2 linked regions of the Oreochromis niloticus genome follow. The protein of the gene in region 2 interacts with the protein of the main gene of each other region in a pairwise test. Links are inferred from orthologs where the notes say so. Each region holds a gene or a part of one and is shown on either strand. Other genes may lie near its edges.

What was found. The genes of interacting proteins can lie anywhere in the genome.
Region 1: the proteins of znf277 (region 2) and gngt1 interact in a two-hybrid assay, tested with the Homo sapiens proteins (3 studies listed by BioGRID and IntAct). The two-hybrid records come from large-scale screens. The link is inferred for Oreochromis niloticus from reciprocal best matches to the Homo sapiens genes ZNF277 and GNGT1.

What each region holds. Positions count from the first base shown.
Region 1 is NC_031985.2:24,331,384-24,337,579, reverse strand, and holds gngt1 (guanine nucleotide-binding protein G(T) subunit gamma-T1), read right to left. Parts: upstream 1,213-6,196; 5' UTR 1,054-1,212; intron 931-1,053; 5' UTR 928-930; coding exon 832-927; intron 677-831; coding exon 551-676; 3' UTR 517-550; downstream 1-516. Other genes in the region: tfpi2 (tissue factor pathway inhibitor 2), read left to right, coding at 2,185-2,305, 2,531-2,701, 3,880-4,059, 4,181-4,354, 4,848-4,927. UniProt on the Homo sapiens protein: Guanine nucleotide-binding proteins (G proteins) are involved as a modulator or transducer in various transmembrane signaling systems.
Region 2 is NC_031972.2:1,103,128-1,110,605, reverse strand, and holds the start of znf277 (zinc finger protein 277), read left to right. Parts: upstream 1-4,462; 5' UTR 4,463-4,531; coding exon 4,532-4,559; intron 4,560-5,362; coding exon 5,363-5,576; intron 5,577-5,849; coding exon 5,850-5,938; intron 5,939-6,051; coding exon 6,052-6,134; intron 6,135-6,367; coding exon 6,368-6,459; intron 6,460-7,171; coding exon 7,172-7,282; intron 7,283-7,365; coding exon 7,366-7,478. UniProt on the Homo sapiens protein: Probable transcription factor. Involved in modulation of cellular senescence; represses transcription of the tumor suppressor gene INK4A/ARF, perhaps acting via the Polycomb group (PcG) complex PRC1.

The DNA of each region.
Region 1 (6,196 bases), on a different chromosome or scaffold from region 2:
CAGAAAGAAGATTTAAAATAAATTCAATCTACAATGAAATGAGCAAAAAAGAAGAAGACTCGCAAACCCGTCGTACTTTAGGGAATAAGATCTCAAATTTGATGTTCACCATTATTATTGGAACAAAATAATAATGATCACATAAAGACTTGGAGGGGGAAAAAAACCCTCTGTATGTATGCAAATGAAGTTATGAAGATTTATCTGTTTCTCTACTTTGTCTACAACCCTTCAGTGAATCACAGAGACAGGCTGAATTATAAATGTGCACATTTAATGACAGTTGCTTCTGTGAATGAAACAACATATGGGCCCATGTGCTCAGACTATATACACCACACAGAGAGAAGCATTATGTAACACTTGCCAAATACAACTTTTAATTAGTGCATCTTTCAAAAAAAAAAAATAAAGAATTAGAAGGCTACAAATCTGGCCTCAAGATGAAGAATTGTTTTACACGGGAAGTCATAAATGTTTCTTTTGTTTCTAGTTCTCATCTGAATCATTTACAGTCTAGTCTCAATATGAAAAGCTCCTTAGGTCCAGTCTAGCAGATGACACAGCCACCTTTCTCCTTGAAGGGGTTCTTCTCCTCTGATATGCCTTTGACGAGGGTGTCCTCCTCCACTAGAGCCTGAATATATTCCTTGATTTCCTCACAGCATTTAGATGTCTGAAAGCAGGAGACAGAAAGCGTATTTCAGTTTTGAATAGCCTTTGTGATGTAATTAGTTTGACTAAATAAATTGAAGCTGTCTGATATTTACTTTTGGATCTAATCAAAAACGCATATTGAGCACACAAGTCACCTCAGTGTGGAGAACTTACCAACCACCTCTCGAGTTTGACTTCAAGTTTAAGCTGGTTTACTTCCATCACAGCCTTGTCCTTATCTGTCAGATCCTCCACATTTATGACTGGCATTTTCTGTCAAAAAAAGGAAACGTTTAACCTTTTTGTTAATGCTTACTTCCACATGATAAATAAATGATCTTAAAGGAAATGTTCACAATTCGTAAGACTTAGCAGAAGGGATAGGAATGCACTTACGAACGCTTACAGGGAGCAGTCCTTCACCCCCGAAATCCTGCTGAAGAATCCCTCTCCTCTCTCTCAATCTGGGTTATAAAGTAATCAGCATAAACAATTCTAATCCCCTAATCTGATTAAAACAAGGCCCCACTGAATGATCATACCAGCAGCTCAAGTACACAAAGGAAAGGGTGGGCAACTCACACAGGCGTCCATTTGAGCTCCTTTGGTGTAAAAAAACAAAACAAAACATGGTGATGTATTTTTTGTCTTTTATAGATTCAGTTTGGAACTTTTGTTCTATTTTAACTCTGAGTTTTCTTGCAGGCTCATTTGGATATGGGTTAAGGGGTGGCGCTTCATTTATCTGGTTAATTTTGATAAGACGGCTAATCTGTGTTTAGCCTCCACCTGTCAAGGTGGAGACATGTCGTTCTTCTAAACGTGAATGCACGGCAGTTTTCCAGTTAACATCTTTCATAAAGGTAAAACCAAAGCAGTGGGATGGAATGAAACCAATACAAATGTTAATGTGAGTTTTAACTTAACTTGCAGATAAGGCTGATTTTTCATGGTAGGATGTCGTAGAAAGAAGCACTTTTATCATGAAAGAAGAACGTTAGTGGTGGCAATCATTAAACAAAATAAGTGATAACATGAGCCACGGTACTATTAATGTGACTCTCAGTGAGAGTACGTGTGTGTGTGTGTGTGTGTGTGTGGATTCCGATCCGGTCAGACAAGTATTCTGGTGTGGACTTGCCTGTGTGGCTCAGACAAGAAAGATGTGTTAATGTTTCACAAGCGTGTGTGTCCCTAGATACAACGCAATATTGGCTCTGTGGAAATTTGACAAGGATGCTGTGTGGGTTACTGGATCGCTGTACATTCCCATCATCATCATCATCATCACTAGAACCAGTGGCCTGTGACAGTGAAAGTATCTGACTCTCTCAAGCAGAGCAAGTTCCTCCTGATATTTAATTAAGACTTAGTCACAGGATTTAACGCTCCCCCACGTAATTCAGAATAAAAACGTTTCTTGTGACGTCATTAATCAACTGCAATAATTTAGTTTCTTTGGCGCGCTGACTCAGTACATGCCCGTCCCTCTTCCTGGCTGTGCTATAAAACAAGGTCTGAGTGGGGATGGTAGACAGAGCGGAAAAGTCTGGATCTCGACCAAAACTTTGCAAAATGAAGCTTTGCGCATTTGCTCTGTTTACAATAATTTCCTCGTTTTACGGCGTTTTGACGCTGCCACCTAAAGGTAACTCCACATCATGTGTTTTTTTGTTTAATTTCTTCTTCGCGCTTCTTCAATGTTTTAACCAACTTTTTAAAAGCAGTTCTGAGCTTGTTGGTTATCACATGACCTCGGGCGTAATACAGATCCAGTTTGTCGTGTGTTGTTAAGCATTGCATAAACTTTCTTTTCCGTGTCCTTACAACGGTCCTCCGGTATTTCAATAACAATCTGCTTGGTGCTTTTCAGGCGTGTGCCTTCTTCAAGTGGATGAGGGACCTTGCAGAGGCAACATCCAGCGGTATTACTACAACACTATCACCCAGACGTGCGAGGATTTCGACTATGGAGGCTGCCAAGGGAATGCCAATAACTTCAAGAGTTATCAGGAGTGCCACAAGACATGCTACAAAATTCCCAGTAAGTAGCCTGACCCGTGAATTATTAGAGGTGGGAATCAGACAACACGTGATATGATATTATCACAATACTTCCCTCAAGATGTGATATTATTGCGATTTTTAAGATATTGTCATATGCTGAGTATTGCATTACCATGTATTGCTGTTTACTCACATTTCCAGCTGCGATCTATGTCCTCAAAATGAAACTTTGTCAAAATCAGTTTTGGCCAATAAGATAAAGTTATCTCACCTCACTTATTTTTTTTTACTACTAATATTACTACTGTAATATATCAGTTTGTCATTGAATGAGGTCAAATTATATCCCCCACTACAGTGGGGGAAATAATGTTAGTAAAGTATGTTAAGTTTACTTAGAAACAAATGAACAGCCTCTATTTTTATAGTAGTTTCATTTTAATGGAGAGTGAGACAGAATATCAATCAAACTCCAGAAATAACACATTACACAAAAGGTATAAACTGATTTGCATGTCACTGAGTGAAATAAACATTTAATCCCCTACAAACCAGCCAAAATGTGTGCTGGATGGGTTTCCAGTTGAGTTGATTTAATGCAAGTTTGTAAAGTTAAAGTCAACTAACATTATCTCAGAATGGGGATGAAGTGAGCCTACTTGTTCAGATTATTTGAATTCATTTAATTATATATATGTATACTCAATATTCCTGTATCGATACAATATCGTCATGCAAAATATCGCGATACCATGCTGTATCGTTCCCCCCCGACCCCTATGAATTACCATGAATCATTAGGGATGAAATTCTGGGCCAGTACCCATGTTTTAAGTAAGAATTGAGCTGATCTTTAATCTTGCTACTTAGCCTTCTCGTCCAGGGGAAAAAAATATTGTCATTAAACATAAATAATAATAATTTATGTGTTTCTAAAGTTTTTCAACTCTTCTTTACACCATCTTTGAACATTTAGCCAGCCCACAACACATAAATATTGGGCATTGACACAGATACATTACATTTTCTTTCAGTTTCAGCTGATATTCGGTAGATATATCAGTGATGGTGACTTAACCATCTCTATTTTATTTCATTTTTAGGAAACTAGTCAGTGCCTCTCTGGTTGTTAACCTGTTCATATGAATTAATTAGTGTTGTTTCACCAGATATCACTGTTAAATGTTGATTTTTTTTTTCAATTCTTCTCCACAGAGGTTCCCCCAATCTGCAGATTTCCTAAAGAAGAGGGACCCTGCCGGGCTCTCGTCTCCCGCTACTTCTTCAACATGACCACCATGCAGTGTGAGCCATTTAATTATGGTGGCTGCCAGGGGAATTCCAACCGCTTCCTTAATCTAGCCTCTTGCATGGAGTACTGCAGTCCAAAGAAAGGTGAGCAGATTACCCCCTGAGTCATCCCTGTGAGGATACACAGTAGACAAAGTCATTGCATTCACAAGGAAATGATTAAACAATAACTGGTGAGCTCTTCCTTGTGTTGTGTCACTTACAGCCGCTCCCGTGCTCTGCGGGGAGCCTCTGGACAAAGGGAAGTGTTCAGCCGCCATACCTCGCTATTACTATAACACAGCCACCAAGACGTGTGAGGAGTTTGTCTACTCAGGCTGCGGTGGGACCAACAACAACTTTGTCTCGCGGCAAGCCTGCATGGACGTGTGCGCAAAAGGTGTGCAAACCTGAGCCAGGCGGGAAGGGTGCATGGGTGTATGTTTCACAGCTCATTGTGAAGTCTTTATCTGAAGATGATAATTTCAGGAGAATTTTCTCACTGCTTAATTCAATAATGGCAGCATTTGAATTGCCACTCAGACCCACTTACTGGATGGAAATAGGAGAAAATTCAGAAAGTCTGGGGGAATTGGAAAGAGACCAAATTATGCTAAGTTGATTTATTATCAGGCCTAAAAATGCTTGGTATCTGAAAAAAAAAAAAAACTACTGGCTTTGACTCAGGCTGGATGATGCTTTTCAAAGCATTCATCCACTGCTGCCAATCGCTATGCTATGATCTGGAGGAAACCAAGCAAAATCTGTTCCTAGAAAGCCAGTTTGGTTAATTGTGAGACTAAAAAGTGCACAATCGTCAGTATTATATGTTATGCTAATCAGCTGTTATGCTTTTTTTTTTTTTTTTGCTTTTTTTTTTGTTGTTGTTCCAGGATGGAAAAAGCATCCAGGCCGAGGAAAAATTCTGCGATCGAGAAAAAATAGAAAACTCGTCACATTCTTGCAGCCGTAAATGTTTGACACTTGTACTCAGGAATTCTCTCTTGGAGAAGTTCCACGTGGAAGCTAATGTGTGTTTGTTTATGCTCAAATAACGACCAGGCTGCCTATGCCCTTGTGTGACATATTTTGACCACATTTATAATGTCATTAGATCATTTTTCTGAATTTTTTATTGACTGTATGCTGTCAGTAAATATCAAGAGGATGGATTGCTGCTGCTGATGCTGTTGATTCATGCCCAACATTCCTCATTATGTATTTTAATACCGTATGATTGTAATGTATTCTTTTCTTTTGTTCTGTTACAATTTTTTACATGAAATATCCTGAATTTGTTCAAGAATTTTGCCTTTTCTGTATTTTGATAACACTGTGTTAAGCAAATTACTGTGCTTTGCGGTATTTTCATAAAAGTAAAAACTAAAATTATGTGGATTTCGTCTTCTTTAACCATTACCATTCACATAAACTCACAGAGTGTCTAATTTTACCCTAAAAACTTGGCTGGTTTCTTCACTTTCCCTCAGTCACTTGCACTTTATCTCCAGGCTGCTCTTCCGTTCCTTACTAATGCTGCTGTCTTCCCTCCTTATCTGGTAATACTTTTCAAGGCGCTCGAGCCTATCTCATTCGTTTCAGCGTAGCCTTGAATCGGGAAGGAAGCAATCATGGGGCAGGGAAACACTGCTGTGGCAGGTTCATTAGAACAGCACTGCATATTTAAAGGAGAGCAAGCTGCAGGTTTACAACACGTGAGTCATGAGCTTTCAGAAATATTGTCTGCAAATGTTTTAGCAATTATAATGTAATTATAGTGGAATACACACAATAACACGCCCATAGCAGAAAGCATCCATGCAGGAAAATGAATGCACATGTATATTTTCCTCCCAACCTCGGTTATTAAAAAAGAGTTTTAACAATTGCGTTTTGGTCAGTAGTTTTTCAGATAATATACTCTCTTTATCGCAAAGATAAATCACAACGGTCTATAATGTCATTAAGTAAAGCAGGCTGTTAGTATGAACACCCTGACTGCCTTAAGTCCGTGCTCTGCTCCATCTCTTGTAATACAATAAGAAAGTGCCGTGTGATTCTTCAGACAATAAATATTTATTGAAGATATAAATGGAAACTACTCATCCATCTGGCTCAAATATAAATAGTAATAAAAGGGAATGCATCTGGCTAGGGATATTGCTTTAAGTACCAAAGCTAAATCATCTATTAAAAGTATGCAAGGGAGCAGTCATCCTAACAGTATGCAGCCTTTAAAAAG
Region 2 (7,478 bases):
GAGGGAGGTCTGGGCTTCTCTGCTTAGGCTGCTGCCCTCGCGACCCGGCCTCGGATACGCGGAACAAGATGGATGGATAATAATAATAATCCAGATCAAAAATGACAAACAACATGAATTTAAGATCATAACAATGCATGCACTCATTTACTCACAGTCAGGCAGACCTTCAGTACAGTACAGAAAAACACAACTGTTACACAAAACAAGAAAAACAAAGTAAAACAGGAAGTAACCAAAAGAAAAACAACAGTTTTCTGAGACCAGAAAAGTGACGTGAAATGTAGCAACAGAGACGGAGCAAAAAGACAGACAGCAAAAAAAAACTACAAATACATTACACACACCTACAAGTATCACACCCACAACTGGTGTGATTTCCTCAGCTGTTCTGACATGGAGTCATGCAGATCTTGTTCTGATGACATCACTGTCACAGGTGTAGGTGGTCACCTGCAGATGTTTAGACTGCAGGAAACATGTTACACACAGTTGTTTGGTGTGTAGCAGTGTGTGTTTGTGTGTGTGTGAGCTGGACAGAGAATGAGCAGAGGAAGAAGAGCCCTTGTGGCTGTTGTGACTCTGATCCGTGTGGGCGACTCAGCTCACATCATGACATCTTCTGAGGTTCTCGAGCTCCAAACACGAGGAACGGTGTAGGTGCTGAGCAGGCGGTTGCTATGCAACAATTCATCGCCAGCAGCATCCAGGTTGGACCCGAGTGGAGAGCAGCAGTCAGGCGGAGGGGGTGGTTTGAATGTGTTCTTTGAAAAGCCGGAGGAAAGCAGCGTTTCTGCAGCTCTCTAGTAGGCGAGCTGTCAGTAGATTTGATTATGTGGAAGCTTAATGGAGAGCATCGGGCCAGAGCAGCTGCAAACGGAGATACGGTGCAGATAAATCTGGAAGACCGGGATGGAGGCAGTGTAAAAACAGGCAAAGTGGGGCCTGGATGAACAGAGTGACACTAATTTGAAGCTTGCGACAGGCTGATGTAAGACAGGTACAGTGAGAGGCAGCACAGTGTTTACGCTTTACAGTGAAGGGATAAAGATGCCGAGTCTGTAAATGGAAATATTTACCGATCAGTTCTTGTCCACATGAAGCCGTCCTCACATCAGCTGTGACAGTCTGACCAATTAAACACGAGTGTTTTACGGTTACATTCTTTAAAAATCACCGTGTTCATTTAAACCTCTGTCTGTTTATCACAGAACAAACTGGAGTTGCATCATGGGTAATGTAGGCATGAGGTTTTCACTGGAATAAAGAAAGTACTTCCTGTTCTGCTGCACTGATTGTGATCGTCTTTGTTGAATCCAACATCGTCACAGGAGAATTGTTTTAGCAGTCTGGAGTTTTTCTACATGGCAACTCTGCATTCACAATTTCCAATTCTGCTCAGTAGAAATCGTCAAATTTCACTCAGTAAAACTGAAGCTCGGACTTCTTTGACGTTCTGTTGGTACAGTAACTTCACAGCAGTCTTATTATTGATCAGATGATGTCATTAAAAATGCTCCAGCAGACTCCAGCAGCACAAACACGGTCCAGAGGTCCAGGTCAGGTGAAGGCGAGCAGACAGCTGTCACCTGCGTCACTATCCACCTGTCATTCAAAGAGGCCACGCCCCTAGTAATGCAAAATTTAAGCCTTAATACAATTCAAACGGGCGACTTATAAAAACATTGTCCTTGCTACAGTTGCTATGAGGGACGAAATGATCCATTACAGGTGGACATTTTAACATGGGAGTCTGTGGGGACTGCCTCACCGCTGGAGCCTCTGGTGGACGTTGGAGGAACTGCAGCTTGTAAATACTGTATTTGATAAATGTTTGATTTTTTTTACAGATATTCTCAGGCAGTCCCAACACTCCAGCTGCATTATGGTTCAGTCACGCTAAACTTTAAATAAGACGGCAATCTCCTGACAACAAGACACACACCGGTGGTTGCTCGGTGATTGGGTTGAATTATTTGTTGCTTTTAGTGACTCATTGTGAGCACTTCCTTGTGTTGAACGATAAACGTGCAATTGAACACTTAATCTGAAGGTGATTTCACAGATCGTCTCGTGGGAGTCCCCCCCCCAGAGCTTCCAGTCCCTCTCAGACAGACTCAGACAGGGATGTGAGACGGCCAGCATGTTGCAAACACAGTACATCTTTAGTACATGATTCAGCTTGTTGTGATGTGTGTGTATGCAGATAGAAGAGGTTTGTCACAGTAAACTCCGACACTGGGATGCAGTGATTCAGTTCAGAAGCAATCGGGCTCACTTGGTTTGCTGCTGTGTGGATATTTTAGCACTCTGAGCTTCGGTGTGGACGTCCAGGTCTCCAAACGTGCTTTTGCTTCATCCAAAGCATCAGGAACTCTGTGCTGTTTGAGTTACAGTGTGCAGGCTTGCAGGGAGAAAAAAAAGAAGATTGATGCGGCTCGTGTTGAAGTCTAAATCAGAAATCCTCATCATATCCAGGCTGACCGAGGCTGCCTCCCCTCGCTTCTCTCCAGGGTTTAATTAGAGCCCCCGGGCTCGGCGTGAATAATGCAGCGCCTGAACGCACCTGAGCGGCCTGCTCGAGCAGAACGAGGAGCCGCAGGGAGGCCGAGAGAGCACCACCTCCAGAGGGAGAGAGAGAGTGAAAGGGTTTGAAAGAGTAGCGTCAGAATATCTGAAGGTTTTCATGTCACTCTAATGATGTCCTGACAGAACCACGAGGGGCATCAGAAACATCTGTGTCACACCTGTCCAACACTACATCTGCGTTAGTCACACTGCTGTAAGAGGGAGATTAATCCAGATTGCTTTGATTATTGTTTCCTTTCATTTTGTTTGCATTAACACTGCAAGCATCAGACTAAATCATACTTATTCTGGCTTTGTGCAGTTACAAACTGGTTGATGAACCCAGATCCTAAGCACTCACTTTGTTAGGTAAACCTATTTACCTGGGGCCTGCTCGCCCCTCCCTGAGCCTGGTTCTGCTGGAGGTTTCTTCCTGTTAAAAGAGAGTTTCTCCTTTCCACTGTCACCAAAGCGCTTGCTCACATCTGATTGTTGGAGTTTCTCTGTTTTCTCTTTATTATCATAAGGTTCTTACTTTAAAATATAAAGGAGCTGGAGGCAACTGTTGCTGTATAAATAAAATTGATTGATTGATTGATTGATTGATTGATTGATTGATTGATTGATTGATTGATTGATTGATTGATTGATTGATTGAAAAGTGAAGATTAGAGCTCAGATAAATGGCACACAGAGTTCCAGCAGACACATCTCTACATCAGCTGTTCAGAGGAGACTAAGGAAAAGCAACAAGCAGAAGAGATTAGTTTGGGCCAAGAAACACAAGGAGTGGACATTAGACCATCTGTGCTTTGGTCTGATGAGTCCAAATTTGAGATCTTTGGTTCCACAAAGGTGAACGATGGTCTCTACATGCATGGTTCCCACCATGAAGCATGGAGGAGGAGTGTCTGGCAGTGTATGCGCCAACATAAGACCACTGACAGGAAGTGAATGACAGTGAACATGAAGTTTTAAAGCTAAAAATATTTGTGTATATACTGGTTCAAAGTGTTTGTGAAACACTGTGTTTTTCATGCTTGACTAAAAAACTGCAGTCACGACGATTGACTCTGAGCACTTTTCGGTGATTACAGAGTCATAATAACGTGTCATATATGAGGTTATTATCATGGCATGACATCACATCATGTATGTATTTGCAATATTTAAAAAACAGCTGCCAGTGTGTTTTCATATTTGTATTCTGTGCCTAAAGGAACAAAGGTTTTTTATTTATATAGTATGGCTGTCATTGCTTTTATCTATAGTTTTTTTTTTAAAGTGAGAATACAGCACCAAACCTGAGAGTGAGTCAGACTGCAGGATGAACACTGAGCTGTTTGTGCCCCCCAGTGGTCTTCGCCCACAACGTGCTTCCAGTGAATTCCTGAATCCAAGCTGGATGATGAGCTGTGTCATCAGCCACTCCACCTTAAAACTGACTTCACATATAAAACTTGGGTCATTTATTTAAGAATTTGCACCATATCCAGCCTTCTATCCCTGTGCTCCCCTTTACAGCAACTCAAATGTTATTTTCAGACGTTTATCTTAGGGAACCTTTCACCTGTACACACGGTACACATTCACAAATAACGTTTCCTTTAACAATTTGTAATAGAGGGGAGGAAACATATGCTAATGTAATGTTAATAAATGGAGATTTATGAACACTAAACTTTCATGTTCAGAGAACTTTCACTCTCAGGTATATCTTGAGGATCTGAGTGTTCGTGTGATTTATATTCTTTGCTTAATATATGCAACAACGTCCAACTGTCAACTTCGTTCACATTAATTAACCTTCAGCTTTCGAAACTTAAGTTTTTGTATTTCCTTGAACCACTTGAATGCACCTTTTCTCATTCGTGTTTTACCGGGCTCCGCGAAGGCGCTTCGTTGGCATTTTATAGCCTCCGATTGGTCCGATTTGTGTTATTTGCACCACGTGACATCAGACATGGCTGCCAGCGAGCCGAGTAAAGACGGTAAGTGTGGATTTTTAAACGTGTCCGCGGCTTTAATGCTGACGTCCTGAGGTGAGCGTGGGAAGGTTTGGGTGTCGGTGATTCTCCGAGTCTGTGGGAATTCACAATCAGCAGAAAAAAGGCTCAAAAAATCAGAAAAGCTGGCGGGAAATCGCCCGGCTAAGCTAGCAGGCTAGGAAATAGCTGGGCTGCTAACTCTGATTATACAGCAATCAATGAATATTCAGTCAGTACACTCAGTCTGACAGCTGTGAAGTTTGTTCGGGATTTAACAGCGTGGAAAGTATGAGCTCGATTAATGAGTTAATGAGCGATCGTGGCTCAAGAGTTGGCAGTTCGTCTTGTAATCGGAAGGTTGCCGGTTCGAGCCCCGGCTCGGACAGTCTCGGTCGTTGTGTCCTTGGGCAAGACACTTCACCCGTTGCCTACTGGTGGTGGTCAGTGCGCCCCAGGGCTCCATCACCAGTGTGTGAATGAATGGGTGGATGACTGAATGTGTAAAGCGCTTTGGGGTCCTTAGGGACTAGTAAAGCGCTATACAAATACAGGCCATTTAATTAATTTGCGAGCTGACTTTTTTTTTTTTTTTTTAAGATCATATTTATTCCCCAGGAGTGATAAAAATAATTGTGTACAGGCAGAATTTTGTCGATCAGAGGGAAATGCTCCTTTATGCCAAGCTGTACATTCTCGCTTTCACTTGGTCATGACTCACCTGGTCTGGAGTAGTGTGTGTGTGTGTGTGTGTGTGTGTGTGTGTGTGTGTGTGTGGTAAATAAGCTGTAGTCTCTCTGCTTTCTCAGGTAAGGACAGCATTCTGGAGCCGCTGAGTTTCCCCGATCAGCCGGCTGACACCTCCAGCGCTCCCGGTGTTCAATGTCCCGGCTCCGAGCCGCTGGTCTGCCTGTTCTGCTCAGAGTCCATCCCACTGCCGCAGAAAGACGTCCTCCTCAGACACCTGTTGATGGAGCACAAGCTTGTCATCGCTGATGTCAAACTCATCGCAGACCTCCGAAAGTACGAACCACGCACGCTCTGGCTCACTCGGTTTAACTCTCTGGAACACGTTTGGATGTTTTCAGCATTTAGAACTCGATCATTTCACCAAAGACCTACTTTAATTATTTGGGGTGATGGGGGGAAACCCTTACAAGTGCATATACAACAAGTCCAACATGTCCACGCCGGTTAGTGTGCTGCTTTTATGAATCGTGGCGAAGTGTTTCTGTGCGCCGGTAAGCCTGGCTATGAGTCGGTTGGTGGTTTTTACTCACATGTTTCCTCCATCAGGTACTTGCTGTACTGGAAGGGCAGATTCCTCGAGCAGCCGGTCACAGATTTCTGCAGCGTCATTAAAACCAACTCCACGGGCCCAGTCGGTGAGTTCACTCAAAGCCACAGAGGACCTGACCTTTCAAAGTGAATCAAAGACACCTCCTCCAGCTCTGATTAATGACTCATTAAAAACTCTTCTTCCTCGCTGACCTGACAGAGAAGCAGGAGGACTACTTCCTGCTGTGTGACGTCCTTCCAGAAGACCGAGTCCTCCGTGAGAAGCTCCAGCAGAAACGACTGGTGAGGAGACGTGACACTCAGAGCATCCAGAGTGAATCTTGCTGGAAGTTTAGTTTCCTTTAAACTTTATTTTGAGGCAAAGTCTGAAAATCTTTGAATGGATTTTTTTTCTTGCAGATTTAATGATGATTTTACACGTTTTGTGTCCTTGTAACCTCTGAACTTTAAATATCTGAGCACTCTGAGGTAGTTTGAGAAGAATTCCTCTGAGCTCTTCTTCTGTGCTCCCACAGGAGGAGGTCCTGGAGCAGCAGCAGAAGGAGCGAGATGACTGCAGCTTCCATCGTCTCTGCATGTTCTGCAGTGAAGAGTTCACAGGAAACAGGTAAAGCCCAGCAGGATTCCCATCAGTCCTGGAAACCTCACGTGTGTTAGAGCAGACAGAAGGAAGAGCTTCCTGAAATCATGTGACTAAAAGCTTCTTTGCTTCCTGTAGTCGTCCTCTTGTGATCTAACCCCCAAAAAGCTGCTTTGATGCATAGCGCCATAAACATAATTTAGTGACATGTCTAAGCCTGAACCAAGAAGCTGATGTGAGACCAGTGCATCCTTCTTCTTCTTCTGCTAACAGTCAGGTCTCAGACCTGTGCAGGTGTGTGCTGGTTCATAAATGGCATGAAGGTGTGACTGGCTCCTCACTGGTGTTTACCACAGTTCGTCTGTGGATCTGTGGCTTTACCTCCAGTTAAACTTCTATCCATCCATTTTCAGTCACTGTGTTGGTTCGCAGATGCTCGGCCTCCCTCTACACAGCCACCCCCTCCAGCTCCTCTGTGGGAGGATGCTGAGGAGTCAGCCGAGAGACATAACCCGTGTCCACTCCGGGTCTCCTCACATTTTAACATGCCGCGTGCCCATGGCGGTGGATGTTGCTCCCCTCTGTCTGCCACCACGGGCACGCCGTAAGGATCTTGACGTCTTGTCCAACTGGGAACTTCTGGACGAAGCCCAAAGGACTGCAGCGCAGTGCTAACAGTGATGATGTCAGCTGATGTTTTCTTTCGTTTATTAAAATCGGCTCCACGTGCTGTTTCCAGGTCGTCTCTGCTGAACCACATGGCCAGAGAGCATTCCTTCAGCATCGGACTGCCGGACAACATCGTCTACTGCAGCGAGTTCCTCGACACGCTGCAGGACAAACTGGACAGGTATGCTAATCGTTGCTTTTTATTCACAGCATTAAGTTTTGCTTTGTTTCTCGCGCCTTTTCATTTCGCTCCCCTCGCTTCAGTCTGCAGTGTCTGTACTGCGAGAAAACGTTTCGAGATAAAACCACGCTGAAGGATCACATGAGGAAAAAAGCTCACCGCCGCATCAATGCCAAAAACCACGAGTACGACCGCT